Linked DNA regions of Ovis aries. The protein of the gene in region 3 purifies or fractionates together with the protein of the main gene of each other region. This does not show direct contact. Links are inferred from orthologs where the notes say so. Each region holds a gene or a part of one and is shown on either strand. Other genes may lie near its edges.

The links.
Region 1: the proteins of TMEM192 (region 3) and LAMP2 purify together in Homo sapiens (affinity purification with western blotting; 5 studies listed by BioGRID and IntAct, with this or other methods). This does not show direct contact. The link is inferred for Ovis aries from reciprocal best matches to the Homo sapiens genes TMEM192 and LAMP2.
Region 2: the proteins of TMEM192 (region 3) and ACP2 purify together in Homo sapiens (affinity purification with mass spectrometry; 3 studies listed by BioGRID and IntAct, with this or other methods). This does not show direct contact. The link is inferred for Ovis aries from reciprocal best matches to the Homo sapiens genes TMEM192 and ACP2.

The regions. Positions count from the first base shown.
Region 1 is NC_056080.1:104,781,019-104,784,904, forward strand, and holds part of LAMP2 (lysosome-associated membrane glycoprotein 2), read right to left. Parts: intron 921-3,886; coding exon 762-920; intron 1-761. UniProt on the Homo sapiens protein: Lysosomal membrane glycoprotein which plays an important role in lysosome biogenesis, lysosomal pH regulation and autophagy.
Region 2 is NC_056068.1:76,050,071-76,054,056, reverse strand, and holds the start of ACP2 (lysosomal acid phosphatase), read left to right. Parts: upstream 1-1,766; 5' UTR 1,767-1,789; coding exon 1,790-1,903; intron 1,904-2,465; coding exon 2,466-2,561; intron 2,562-2,851; coding exon 2,852-2,938; intron 2,939-3,824; coding exon 3,825-3,977; intron 3,978-3,986.
Region 3 is NC_056070.1:393,394-397,379, reverse strand, and holds the start of TMEM192 (transmembrane protein 192), read left to right. Parts: upstream 1-1,015; 5' UTR 1,016-1,081; coding exon 1,082-1,090; intron 1,091-3,986.

The DNA.
Region 1 (3,886 bases), on a different chromosome or scaffold from region 3:
TCCTCAAACTGCTGCTTCACATGCAGACAATCTTTAAAAAGTTATGACACAGCAGATGGGCTCCAGACACATACAAATGCTTTATCTACTCACATGTGGCCACACACTCATCTTTTTATACCCTTTATTCCCCCCCAAATTATCACCTGCTTCTGAGATGAAAATCAGAGATTTAAGTTTGAAAACAGTTCACCCCTACGTTAAAAAAAAAAAAAGTGTTTTTAACTAAAACAACAGTTTAAAAATCACTGAAGGATTTAAATACAAATGAACCTTTTATCTGTGTTGCCCCTACAGCAAATCATAGGCATTTCAACTTCTTAGGAAGTGTTGGTCGTTTTCCAGAACTGGTGGCTAAGAAATTAATGAATTTCCAATAAAGTCATGTAAAAGTTACCAAATCAATTTATAAAAGTCAAGATTAGAACACAGAAATCCAATTTCTCAGCTTTTGTCTGGGATCTTCAAAAGCTTAGAAACTGAGGATCAAATGCTATTTGAGGATTTGTTCCAACCAAGATTAGGTTTTATCCACGGAGAGCACCAGAGGTAGGGTATTTCAGAAAATCATTCCGCCACATGTCCATCAGAAACCTCAAAGTGCAAGCTCTACCAGAATAAGGATTGCCGTTATTTATAAAAACGTTACAGTGCAATGAAGCTGTAAGTATTACCATATAAATGCTTCAGATGATACTTCAACTAAAGCTTCTTGGTATACTCTCATCTTAAGTCAGGACCCAAGTACAGAAACGTCTCACCTGTTGTGCTCACTGTGCCATTCTGGACAAACGCTTGTACATGAACATCCCAATAGTGCTGGACAACATCACTTTTTTCTAAGGTTGACAAACTATTGCATCTAAAGATGTCATTCAATGGAATCTTGAGTGCCACACGATTATTAACAGTAAAAACTCCTGTAAGATAAGATTTAACAACAGCTATTTCCAAGAAGGTAGGAGGAAAGTGATCATATAAATACATAGACTTTCACCTTTTCTGTATGCCTGCCCCACCCAACTCCTGAAGTGACAACAGACAAGGCCTGTTCAGGGACCGACAAATTCACTGTGGCTAAAAACAAGGGGTTAAGAGGAAAGGGGTGATGGGGATTAGGAAGGAAAGATAAGTTGCAGGTGGTCACACTTTGCAGCATGTTCTATGACCTAAGGACAGGTTGGGCATTGTTTTGTTAGCAATAGAAGGTGAGTTTCAGTTTTTAAAGCTGGAAATAACAAACGTGTCATTTAAGGAAGACAGCAAAACTGTAGAGGTCAGGCAGAGCAGAAAACTTTTTAAGCGAAGTCATTTAAGAGGTAAACTAGTTAGTAGGCTAATGACCTGGTTAAGGGGAAAGATGAGGGCTCCCTGGTGGCTCAGTGGTAAAGAACCCACCTGCCAATGCAGCAGACATGGACTGGCTCCCTGATCTGGGAAGGTCCCACATGCCGCAGAGCAATCGAGCCTGTGCTCCAGAGCCCACGTGCTGCAACTACTGACGCCCGTGCGTCCTATGGTCCATGCTCCACAACAAGAAGCCACCTCAATGAGAAGCCCGCACACCACAACTAGAGAGAAGCGACTGGTCACCACAAGTAGAGAAAAGCGTGACAGCAACAAAGATCCAGCACAAAAATAAATAAATAAATAAAAGTATAAAAAAGCAGGGGAGATGAGGAGGAGTTGCCTAAACCAAGAGAGTGAGGGGCAGTAAGAGAGCATGCGTGTGTGCTCTGTCATGGCTGACTCTTTGTGACTCCCTGGAGTGTAGCCCGGCAGTTCCTTCTGTCCATGGGATTTCCCAGGCAAGAATTCTGGACTGGGTTGCCATTTCCTCCTCCAGGGGATCTTCCCGACCCAGGGATTGAACCCACATCTCCTGCACTGGCAGGCGGGTTCATTACCACACTGATCCACCAGGGCAGCCCAAGAAGAGAGCAGAGAGGCAAATTGAAAACACATATCTAAGGCAGAGGCAACAGGACTTAGCGACAAAACAAACAAGAGAGATGGGATAATCAAGGATTATTTTTGTGCTACAATCCCAAAGTAAGTGAAAGTAACTAAAATGAGTTTTTGAAACCTCTTCCTGGACAGAATTTAGAGACTACTCCATTTTAGGAACATCTCAGAATACGAAAGCAATAAGTTACTGCCTTTCTGTGCAGTTATTATAACGCCTATAGTGAAATGCCAAATTGAAAAAAAAATTTAAACCAATGAACCAGAACAGTTTCCTCCAAAACCATTTTTCACTGTTAACTAAGTGAACAGATGTCTGAACTGGCTGTACATAGACAGACCTCTAAAAACAAATGAGTGCAAAAACAAGTCATAGACACCGGAGTTACATTATAAAACTGTCATTTTTAAAATGATGTATTGTGTCTGAACATATATTGACATATATATTAGTCAAACACAAACACATAGACAAGAAGGCTACACTCCTAACTCCCAAGAGTGGTCCCTTCTTGGGAGGCAAGGAGGAAAATGGCTCTGCGGAGTGGGTACAAAGGAAACCTCTAGAGTACCTGGTAAGGTTTTTTATTTCTTGAAATAAAACAATGAGGCAAATATGGAAAAAACAGCATTAGTTCTAGGTAATGGATTTATGTGTGGTTCTGTTATTTCCTGTACTTTTCTATTTCTACACTGTAAATTTTTAAAATTTTTCATTTATTTAACACCAAATACATTTTGTATTGGGGAATAGCCGATTAAGTGAAGGGACTCAGCCATACATATACATGGTGGCTTAGACGTACAGAATCCGCCTGCAATGAGGGAGACCTGGGTTTGATCCCTGGGCTGGGAAGATCCCTGGAGGAGGGCGTGGCAACCCACTCCAGTATTCTTGCCTGGAGAATCCCCATGGACAGAGGAGCCTGGCAGGTTATAGTCCATGGGGTCGCAGAGAGTCAGACACGACTGGGCGGCGAAGCACATTCTCCCCCCAACTTCCCATCCAAGTTGGCATATAACACTGAGAAGCATACACTGTATTTTAATCATGAAAAAGAAAAAATTAAAGGAAACAGCAGGAGGTAATTCCCTGGCAGTCCTGTGGTTAGGACTCCAGTCTTTCACTGCCAAGGATGCGGGTTTAATTGCTGGTTGGGGAACTAAACTCCGAGAAACTGTCGCACATCCAAAAACAAAAAACAACTTCAAAGTCACTTCAATTACCAGATGCCTAAAAATAGGATACTAAATTATTTCTAAAAACTATGGACAGTTTAAGGGAGTCATTTAAAATCTCAAATAGATTCAAATATTACAGAAGCTAGCAATAAACATTGTAGCTTCCCTTAGTCAGGAAACTAAGACCCCCACAAGCCATGTGGTACAGCCAAAAAAATGTTGTTAATGCTGTTTAGTAGCTCAGTCATGTCCCACTCTTCGCGACCTCATGGACTGTGTCCCACCAGGCTCTTCTGTCCATGGGATTTCCCAGGCAAGAATACTGGAGTGGGTAGCCATTCTCTTCTCCAGGGGATCTTCCCGATCCAAGGCTTGAACCCACGTCTCCCGAGGTCATAAATAAATACATAAATAAAAAATGGGGGGGAGAGATCGGTGTTAACATTTCAAAGTCCACAATCTTCCCATCAAATCTGTCAGATTAACCCCCATCTGCTTTTACTGCCGGAGAAGGCAATGGCACCCCACTCCAGTACTCTTGCCTGGAAAATCCCATGGATGGAGGAGCCTGGTGGGCTGCAGTCCATGGGGTCACTAAGAGTAGGACAGGACTGAGCGAGTTCACTTTCACTTTCATGCATTGGAGAAGGAAATGGCAACCCACTCCAGTGTTCTTGCCTGGAGAATCCGAGGGACGGGGGAGCCTGGTGGGCTGCTGTCTATGGGGTCGCACAGGGTC
Region 2 (3,986 bases), on a different chromosome or scaffold from region 3:
CAAAACTGAAATAATATCTTCTCCATCAATACTTCCTACATCGGATACTTGCAGGCACAAAGAAAACAGAAATATTTGAGCAAGTGGGAAGAAAAGCAAAAGATGAATTTAAGGGATTTTTGTTCTACGTGCCAAAATTTAGTAAGCCTGAGATTTACACTCTGATATCACAACAGTCTGGCTACTTTGCAAGGAGAGTAAGGGGCATATTAAAATGAAATATTCAACAACTCCCATTAATATGCAGAATTTTGTCAATTAACCATGTCCCGTTCAACCCCATCCATGTGAAAAGGTTTCCTTTGCTAGAAATCTCTTTATTGAAAATATTTGGGGGCCACTGAATATAGTTAAACAATGCAGTTTGAGTAGCCTGTGAGACATAGTCTGTTTATAACAGGACAATTTGACTAGAAATCAGAAAACCTGAGTTTTAATCCAGTCTCCTAAACTGTGTGACCTTGGACAAGTCATTTCCTCTTTTAGGATTTGTTTTCTTATCTGTGAAGAAAAGGGGACTAGGTTACATCAAGGATTCAGAGATGCGGATTTATGAAGCTTATTAATGGTCTTCATGAACTTCTTGGGATTGTGTACAAAATTCTATTTGTGTATGGACATTTTTCTGAGAGCCTTCAGCTCTCAATTTCTATTCATTCCTCCATAACAATTTCGGAAGCAAAGTTTAGATCCTGAAATATATGTAAATAATTCAATCTGGAGTTCTGGGGCAAAATAATGACTCTGCTTTCTTCCACATGTTCTGATCAGGTTTTATTTCTCCAATGATCTGAGGTAATTGGCTACTAGGGGCCAGACTGAATCAAAGCATCTCAATGGCCTTTGACCTGACTTCCTGGAGCAGTGAGTCCCTCCCCAAGTTCAGAGTCACAAAGATCTGAAGCCAGACTGGCTTCACCTATATCCTAGCGATGAGTGCCAAGCGGGCCTCTGTCTGATTCTGTGGAAAGCCCATCTACTCCTACTGTATGATATCCTCTTTTCCCTTACCCCTAAAATATCTCCCCACTGGTCTGAAATGTCTCCCCTGAGGATTCACTGCTTTGGTTTTGGAGACTGAACATCCTGTGCAACCCAACCCCTTTGAGAAGAGGCACAGCATCTCGATTCTAATCATCTAAAACCTGGAAGTGGACGGGTGGGAGGAGAGGGAAAAGCACTGGAAGGGGAAGTGAGAGAGCACCTTAAGCTCTGCTCAGGAAATGAGCAGTAGGCTAGACTGGGACCAACCTCAGGCACACAGGAAGTCCAAAGGGCTGGTACACCCTGTGCCCTACACCCCGAACAAGCCTTCTTTCAGGGAATAAGAGCCCGGGCCAAGGCTCAAATTCCACCCCTGGGCCACCCCTCGCCTCAATTCGGCACGGGCTCTGGCTCTAGGTCAAGCCTGACGGCACCCCCCGGCCCGAGGGGGCGCTCGCTCTCCCGGCCACGGTCCAGCCGAATTCAAGAGCCACCTTGGTACGTGGGTCTCCGTGACCAGAGGCAAAATCCACGCTCAGGGGTCTCTTTACCAGGACGAGGTCTTCAAACCCTTTCTGCAGGGCGAGGTCGCGCTACAGTCCCATGCTCCTCTTCCACCGCAGGATCGCGAACCTCCTACAGGAATTCCCTCCGGGATTCCTCCTCCCACCATCCCTGCCGCGCGCCTTTACCAAGATGGCGGCGAGCGCACTTCCGGCGTGTGTTCTTAAGGGTGCGTCCGGGTGGCTGCTGCAAGTGTCACCTAGAGGGTTCCAGCCTCTGTGCTGCATAGACTACAGCGGTGATGGCGGGCAGGCGGTTTGGCTGGAGCCGGGCGGCTCTTCTCCAGCTCATTCTTGGTGTGAACCTGATGGTGATGCCACCCACCCAGGCCCGGACTCTGCGTTTCGTTACCTTGGTAATGAGAAATGGGGTCGCCAAGGGCTGGCCAGTGCTAGGAGGGCACCGGCCTGCTGGTGGAGGGAGGGGCGGGGCTTTGCTGGGGTCTAGGGTCTGGAGGAGTGGGGAGACGACTGGCCTGCGGGGTTGGGGGCCAGGGTTCGCAGTTTTTGTGAAGCCCTGGGGTATTTAGGGTTGGGGGCAGGGTACACGGAGTTCTGTATTAGAGGATAGATTGGTGAGTCTGCCTTGGGAGTGGGATGTAGTTCAGTGATTTATAAGAGATTCACTTCTAAGGCAACCTTTGGTGATTTTTTTTCCAGTCCCCCCTCCCCCACAACACACCTGCATTGCTTTCATTTCTTTCCCTTTCCCTCCTGTACTTTCGGTTTTCCCAAGGTCTCCAGCGGCACTGCTTAACCAAGTTAAGAGTCTCTGGAGGCTGCAAGAAGTTAGTGACTTCTAGTTTGGGGTTTTTCGCCGTGGGTAGAGTTAAGGCTCTCAACATGGGGCAGAGGTTGGCTCTGTGTCCACACCAAGGGGACCCTCTGACCTCTGGGCTCACCACTTTCTTTCCTCAGCTGTACCGACATGGAGACCGCTCTCCAGTGAAGACATATCCCAAGGACCCCCATCAGGAAGACAAATGGCCCCAGGGCTTTGGTCAGCTAACCAAGGTGGGTCAGGAGCCAGCTCTCTCAGGATGAGCTGCAGAACTCACCAGACTGCTTTTCCCCATGTGGCTGCTGACTTTGGCCACATTTCTTCAGCTCACTTTCATCTGTGCCCAGATTAAAATGGGCACACACAATGCACACACAATCAACCCCTTAATAAACGACTTGTGGGATCAGATTAACCCATCTGCTTCCAACCGCAAGGTGGAAAGCAGCCGTGGCTAGCCCCTATTGTCCTCATGCGCCATCCCTCTCCCCCGGGGCCTCTTAACCCTTGGGTTTGCCCACAGGAGGGCATGCTGCAGCACTGGGAGCTGGGCCAGGCTCTGCGACAGCGCTACCGTGGCTTCCTCAACGCCTCTTACCACCGGCAGGAGGTAAGGCTGGGAACTCGAGAGGGAGGAGGGATCGGCTGTTCTCACCCTCTGCCCTCGGGGAGACTGCCGGTGACCCGGGCACTGTGGCCTTCCTCCGTGCGTCTCTGGTTACAGCTGCAGGATGAGGCGTCCACGGGCTGTCTGGAGCAAAACTCTGGAGGCTGAGTTGCCCCTGCTTGGCTTGGGAAGAAGCCAAACTGTTCAAGCATCCAAGCCCAGACCTAAGGGCCTCGCAGAGTAGTTTCCAACTCTGTGAAGTAACTCAGGCTTTCCATCCAAGTACTGTTACGGGCCAGGCACTGTGCTGGCACTGCGTGTAACAGTGCATCAGCCAGATCCAATCTGTGTCCCTCAGGTTGTTACTGTTTCCTTGAGGGCCGGCCCTATCCTGATCTTGCCCTTTCTAACTTCTTCCTCCCTTTTCACAGGCACTTATCTCTGTTCCTCATCTTGTTTCCTCTCCTGCTCTGTAAGCCAGTTATTAAGCAGTGTGTGTGTGTGTGCGTGTGTGTGTGTGTGTGTGTGTGTGTGAGATTAAAGACAGTTTCTGCCCCCAAGGACCCGGGCATCGATAAGGGAGACAGGTGTTGTAATAAACCAGGCAGGCTGGCAGACCCGAGAGCCTTGTTGAGTAAGCACTTTAGACTGGGAGGGGCATTTGACCTATAGCCATTCCCGCAGGAATTCTTTGTAGATGGGGGGACAGCAACCCCATCCGTCTAGGCTGGAAGATGGGTGGGGAAGGCCAGAGAAGGGGAGAAGGCCAGATGCCTGGTGGATTCACAATTTGCTGGGTGAACAGCAAGAACTGGGGCCCCACTGTGAGGCCACAGCTGCCCCCACTCCCCGACTCCCACAGGTGGGACTGATGTTGTCATCTCTGCAGGTTTATGTGCGAAGCACAGACTTTGACCGGACGCTTATGAGTGCGGAGGCCAACCTGGCTGGACTCTTCCCGCCCGACGGGATGCAGCGCTTTAACCCAAACATTTCTTGGCAGCCTATCCCCGTCCACACCGTGCCCATTGCCGAGGACAGGGTAAGCCTG
Region 3 (3,986 bases):
CATACACAATGTACAAATAAGCATTAAAAAGTATGAAAGTTTATTACTACAATATAACAATAGAATGGGGGCTGATATTGACAACATTTTTAACTTTCTTAACACTTTAACCAGGCTTCCCTGGTAGCTCAGAGGTTAAAGCGTCTGCCTCCAATGCGGGAGACCTGGGTTTGATCCCTGGGCTGGGAGTTCCCCTGGAGAAGGAAACAGCAACCCGCTCCAGTATTCTTGCCTGGAGAATCCCATGGTCGGAGGAGCCTGGTAGGCTACAGTCCACGGGGTCGCAAAGAGTCAGATACGACTGAACAACGTCACTTTCACGTTTTAACAAACGATAGTGTAGTCTCAGAAAAATGCCATAAAATTTCTTGTTCAATTTCACTTGGAATAAAAAGTCCAACCCCCCCCCCCCAAAAAAAAAAAAACCCCTTATTTCCTCCTTTCCCACTGGTGAAATCATTAACTGTGTCCTCGAAAACAGTTTTTATTCTGTTTGTGTTCCTCTGATGGTGGAGTTTTGTGCTATCAATGAAAACCTGGGATTCTACCGCGGGTCCTATGCACAGGTCTACGCTGCAAACAATAACTAAAGAAAGCCGAGAAAAAATAATGCTTTATAAAGAAGCAGCTGACGGCCAAAAGTAGTTCAATTATTGGACTTAGAACGCATCCATTAGCGCCCAAATCTCTGGCCAACCTAGGACACTAGCGCAGGTTTCGCAGTCCGTAGGCACCGCAGCGTTCCCAGAGCCAGCGGCCTCCCAGGGAGGGACTTCGGGAAGGGTCACTCCCCCTTTCTCCTTGGCCATTCGGGATCGAGGTATTGGATCAGCCCCCTCAGAGTCTACCAATAGTAAGCAAGAGGCGGGACCAATCACTCCTGCCCCTCTGCCAATCGAGGGCGAGGGGCGGGCCTGGGACTGCCGCCGGAAGCAGGGCCCTGGAGCGAGGAGGAGGGGCCCGCCTCTACGCTTCGGCCAATTGAAAGCAAAGGGTGGGTCCCAGGGCGTGTCCCGGAAGGCGGCGCGGGCTCAGGTGCGGAGGCTGGGCGGCCCGGCTGCGGCCTCCGGCGGCCGGCAGTATGGAGGACGTGAGTGCTCAGTGGCAGGTGGCGAGCCACCGGCCCGCATACCCCTCCTCTGATGCTGGGCGCCCTGGGCAGAGACGGGGTTGGGAACAGACTTGGCGGAGGGGATCCTTCTGCGCGCGGTTACCGGGCTGCGGTTTGTGGGAGGAGGCGCAGGGGCGCCGGCGGGGTCCGCGCCTTGCTGGCCCTGGGCTTATTTTCTCGTCACAGGAAGCAGGAGGGGCGCCCAGCCCTTGCGGTCGCGTGTCGGGTCCCAGAACTGGGGAGGCCAGCGATGCGCGCATGGCCTCGGGCGCAGGAGCGAGTCCACCTCCTCTTGGCCTCCGGCCTTGGCTCTGAGGGCAGATCTGTCGCTATCATCACACGGAAACCCGCATTGGAGACAAACAATATGATGTTTTAAATGGAGGCCTGGTAGGAGTGAAGGGATTTTTAAATCTTAAGTGGATCCAAACAGGATTATTAGAAGCCACTGCACTAGTTACAGTGTACAGAGTGCAGCGTAACTGTAAAAGTCTTTGCTTGAGGGTATTAAAACATTTTTAGGAAAAGCATGTATTTGTGCCCAGAATTAACTGGATTACCCATTGAATTACAAAATTCTTGCTCTTGAGAAAATGCAAAGTTAATAGTTATATTAAAGCACTGATTTAAGTTAATAAATTAATAGGCATATTACTGTGATCCTGCCGCTGAATGAGATGCATCACGCAAGACACTTGAAATACAATTCCAGCCCTACAGTACCTTAGATTCTTGTGCAAATAGTGACCATAGTTCAATTATCTTGACTAAATAAAGACCAAACAATTTCTAATGATAGGACTAAAACCCATGTTTTTTACACTATGAGAAAGTGGAAAGCTAACTGTAACACCTGAAAGTGGATTTGAGATTCATATATTTAAAGAAAAATTGATTGTTTTTGAATTTTTAAAGGGTGAGATTCATGAATTGAAAATATGTGGAGAAAATGAGTATCTAAATGGAAAATGAGACTCATAAAAATGTGTGCAGTAAATGCTTCTTGCTTGGTGCTAAGCTGCCTCCAGGTTCTTGGATCTGTAACTTTTAGCTTTAGGATTAGTACAATCCTAGAAATTTGTTTCACCAGAAGATTGGAGAGTAATGTTTCACCAATATCTACATAGCTAGGTTACTTTAGGTATGAACAATTGCCTACCTTTGGTATTTGTGGATATGATTTCTCCCACCCAAGAGAAAGCTAAAAACTATGTGCCATGTCCTAGGCCTAAATGAATTAAGAGACAAAAACTTTTTAGTTTGGGTTCTTTGTTTGCAAGCGGGCAAACCAATTTTGGCTACTTTAAGGAAGAAAGGGATTTATTTGAAAGGATATAGGGTAGATGAACACCTAATTCTCTGAAAGGATTCAAACCAGGGCTGCTTAAGGGATCCAGTGACAGGAGTCCTTTCAGAATCTCTTCTGGGATGGATCTATCTCAACCATGGCCTTTTGTTTGCTCTGTTACTCTAAGAGAGAGTTAGATTGGCCTAACCCTTTTTGGTTTCATGACCATCCTTAGACCAGAGGAAGGTGAAGAGCACTGAAGGATATTCCCCTTGAGATTGCAGAGGTAGACTTTGGGTCCCCAAAGGGGAAGTAATAATTGTGACAAAAAAGGGAGGAGATGATGTGGACAAACAACAGGTATCTTTTCCAGGTAGCAGTGTGATTATTTTAAGAGTCTTATTCCTTTCACCGTTCTCTTGCAGATGACAAGTTACAGAGAGAGACAGGATGCTGTTTGTATAGTTCTCCTACATTTCTTATAGGATCCAAAGGACAGTGTATTTGATATAGTCACCAAACACATTGTATTTCATGAACATTGAATAAGTGACAGAAACCATATTGTCCCCGACCCCTTCAGTGTAGTGAGGGAGAACAAAAGGCATACACATAAATGAAACAATACAAGTCAGCACATGAAATGCAATACCTTTCTTGGTTTTAAAGTAGAAAGAAAACACTTGGCAAGACAAGTTTTATAGAGGATGGAAATTCTGTTGGACCTTGAAAGATGAGTTGGATGCTGAAAAAGATAAGAGAGGGTATTTGTGGGCACTCCAAAAAGCTCATGCAGACCAGAGGAGAAAGTGCATGAAAGGGACCAAGAGAGAGATAAAGTAGACTGCTGTCTTACAGTCAGGGTTTCAGTGCTGTCTTTTAAAAAATTCCTAGATCCCAACTGTTCAAGAAGTTGGGCCATCTTTCATTCACTCTACACACATATTGAGCACCTGCTGTGTGTCAGGTACTAAAGGTACAAAGAATAAAGTATAATGTAGAGTCCTGCCCTGTGAAGCACACCTGTTCCAACCACTTTCATACCTTGTGCTTCTTTCTGCCTGGAAGAACAAAATATCTGTATATGAAGGGACATTGTTTTGAGATAATAGACATCAAGCAATGAACTAGAGTGATCTTTGAGAGATAGGAAACAACACGAGCTGTGTAATTGCCAGCTCACTGCCTAAAGAGAGTTTGTGGGCTATGGCAGAGGTAGGGGCACCAGGTGGGCTTCAGTAGGACCCTGAGTTGAGGAGGTGGAGCTGAATCTGGGGATACTGAAGCAACTTGGGTTCACCAGAGAACCCAGAGAGCAGAGCACTGTACAGAGGGAGAGCTCCAAAGAGTGCAGAATCCCTGTTCAGCTAAGTCCTGTTCTGTATGCCTCTGAGGTAATGCCCTGACGACTGAGGGAAAAAAAAAAAATGACCCAGAAGGACTAGAAGGAGCAGTACTCTCACAAGGACAAGGATTAGTGCTTGTTTTTCCAGCTAGACTGGAAACCTCATAATCACAGGGTGTTGAGTATTAGGAAAGGTCTTACTTCACTTGTAGGGAATATTTAGCACTAGACCAAACATGGTG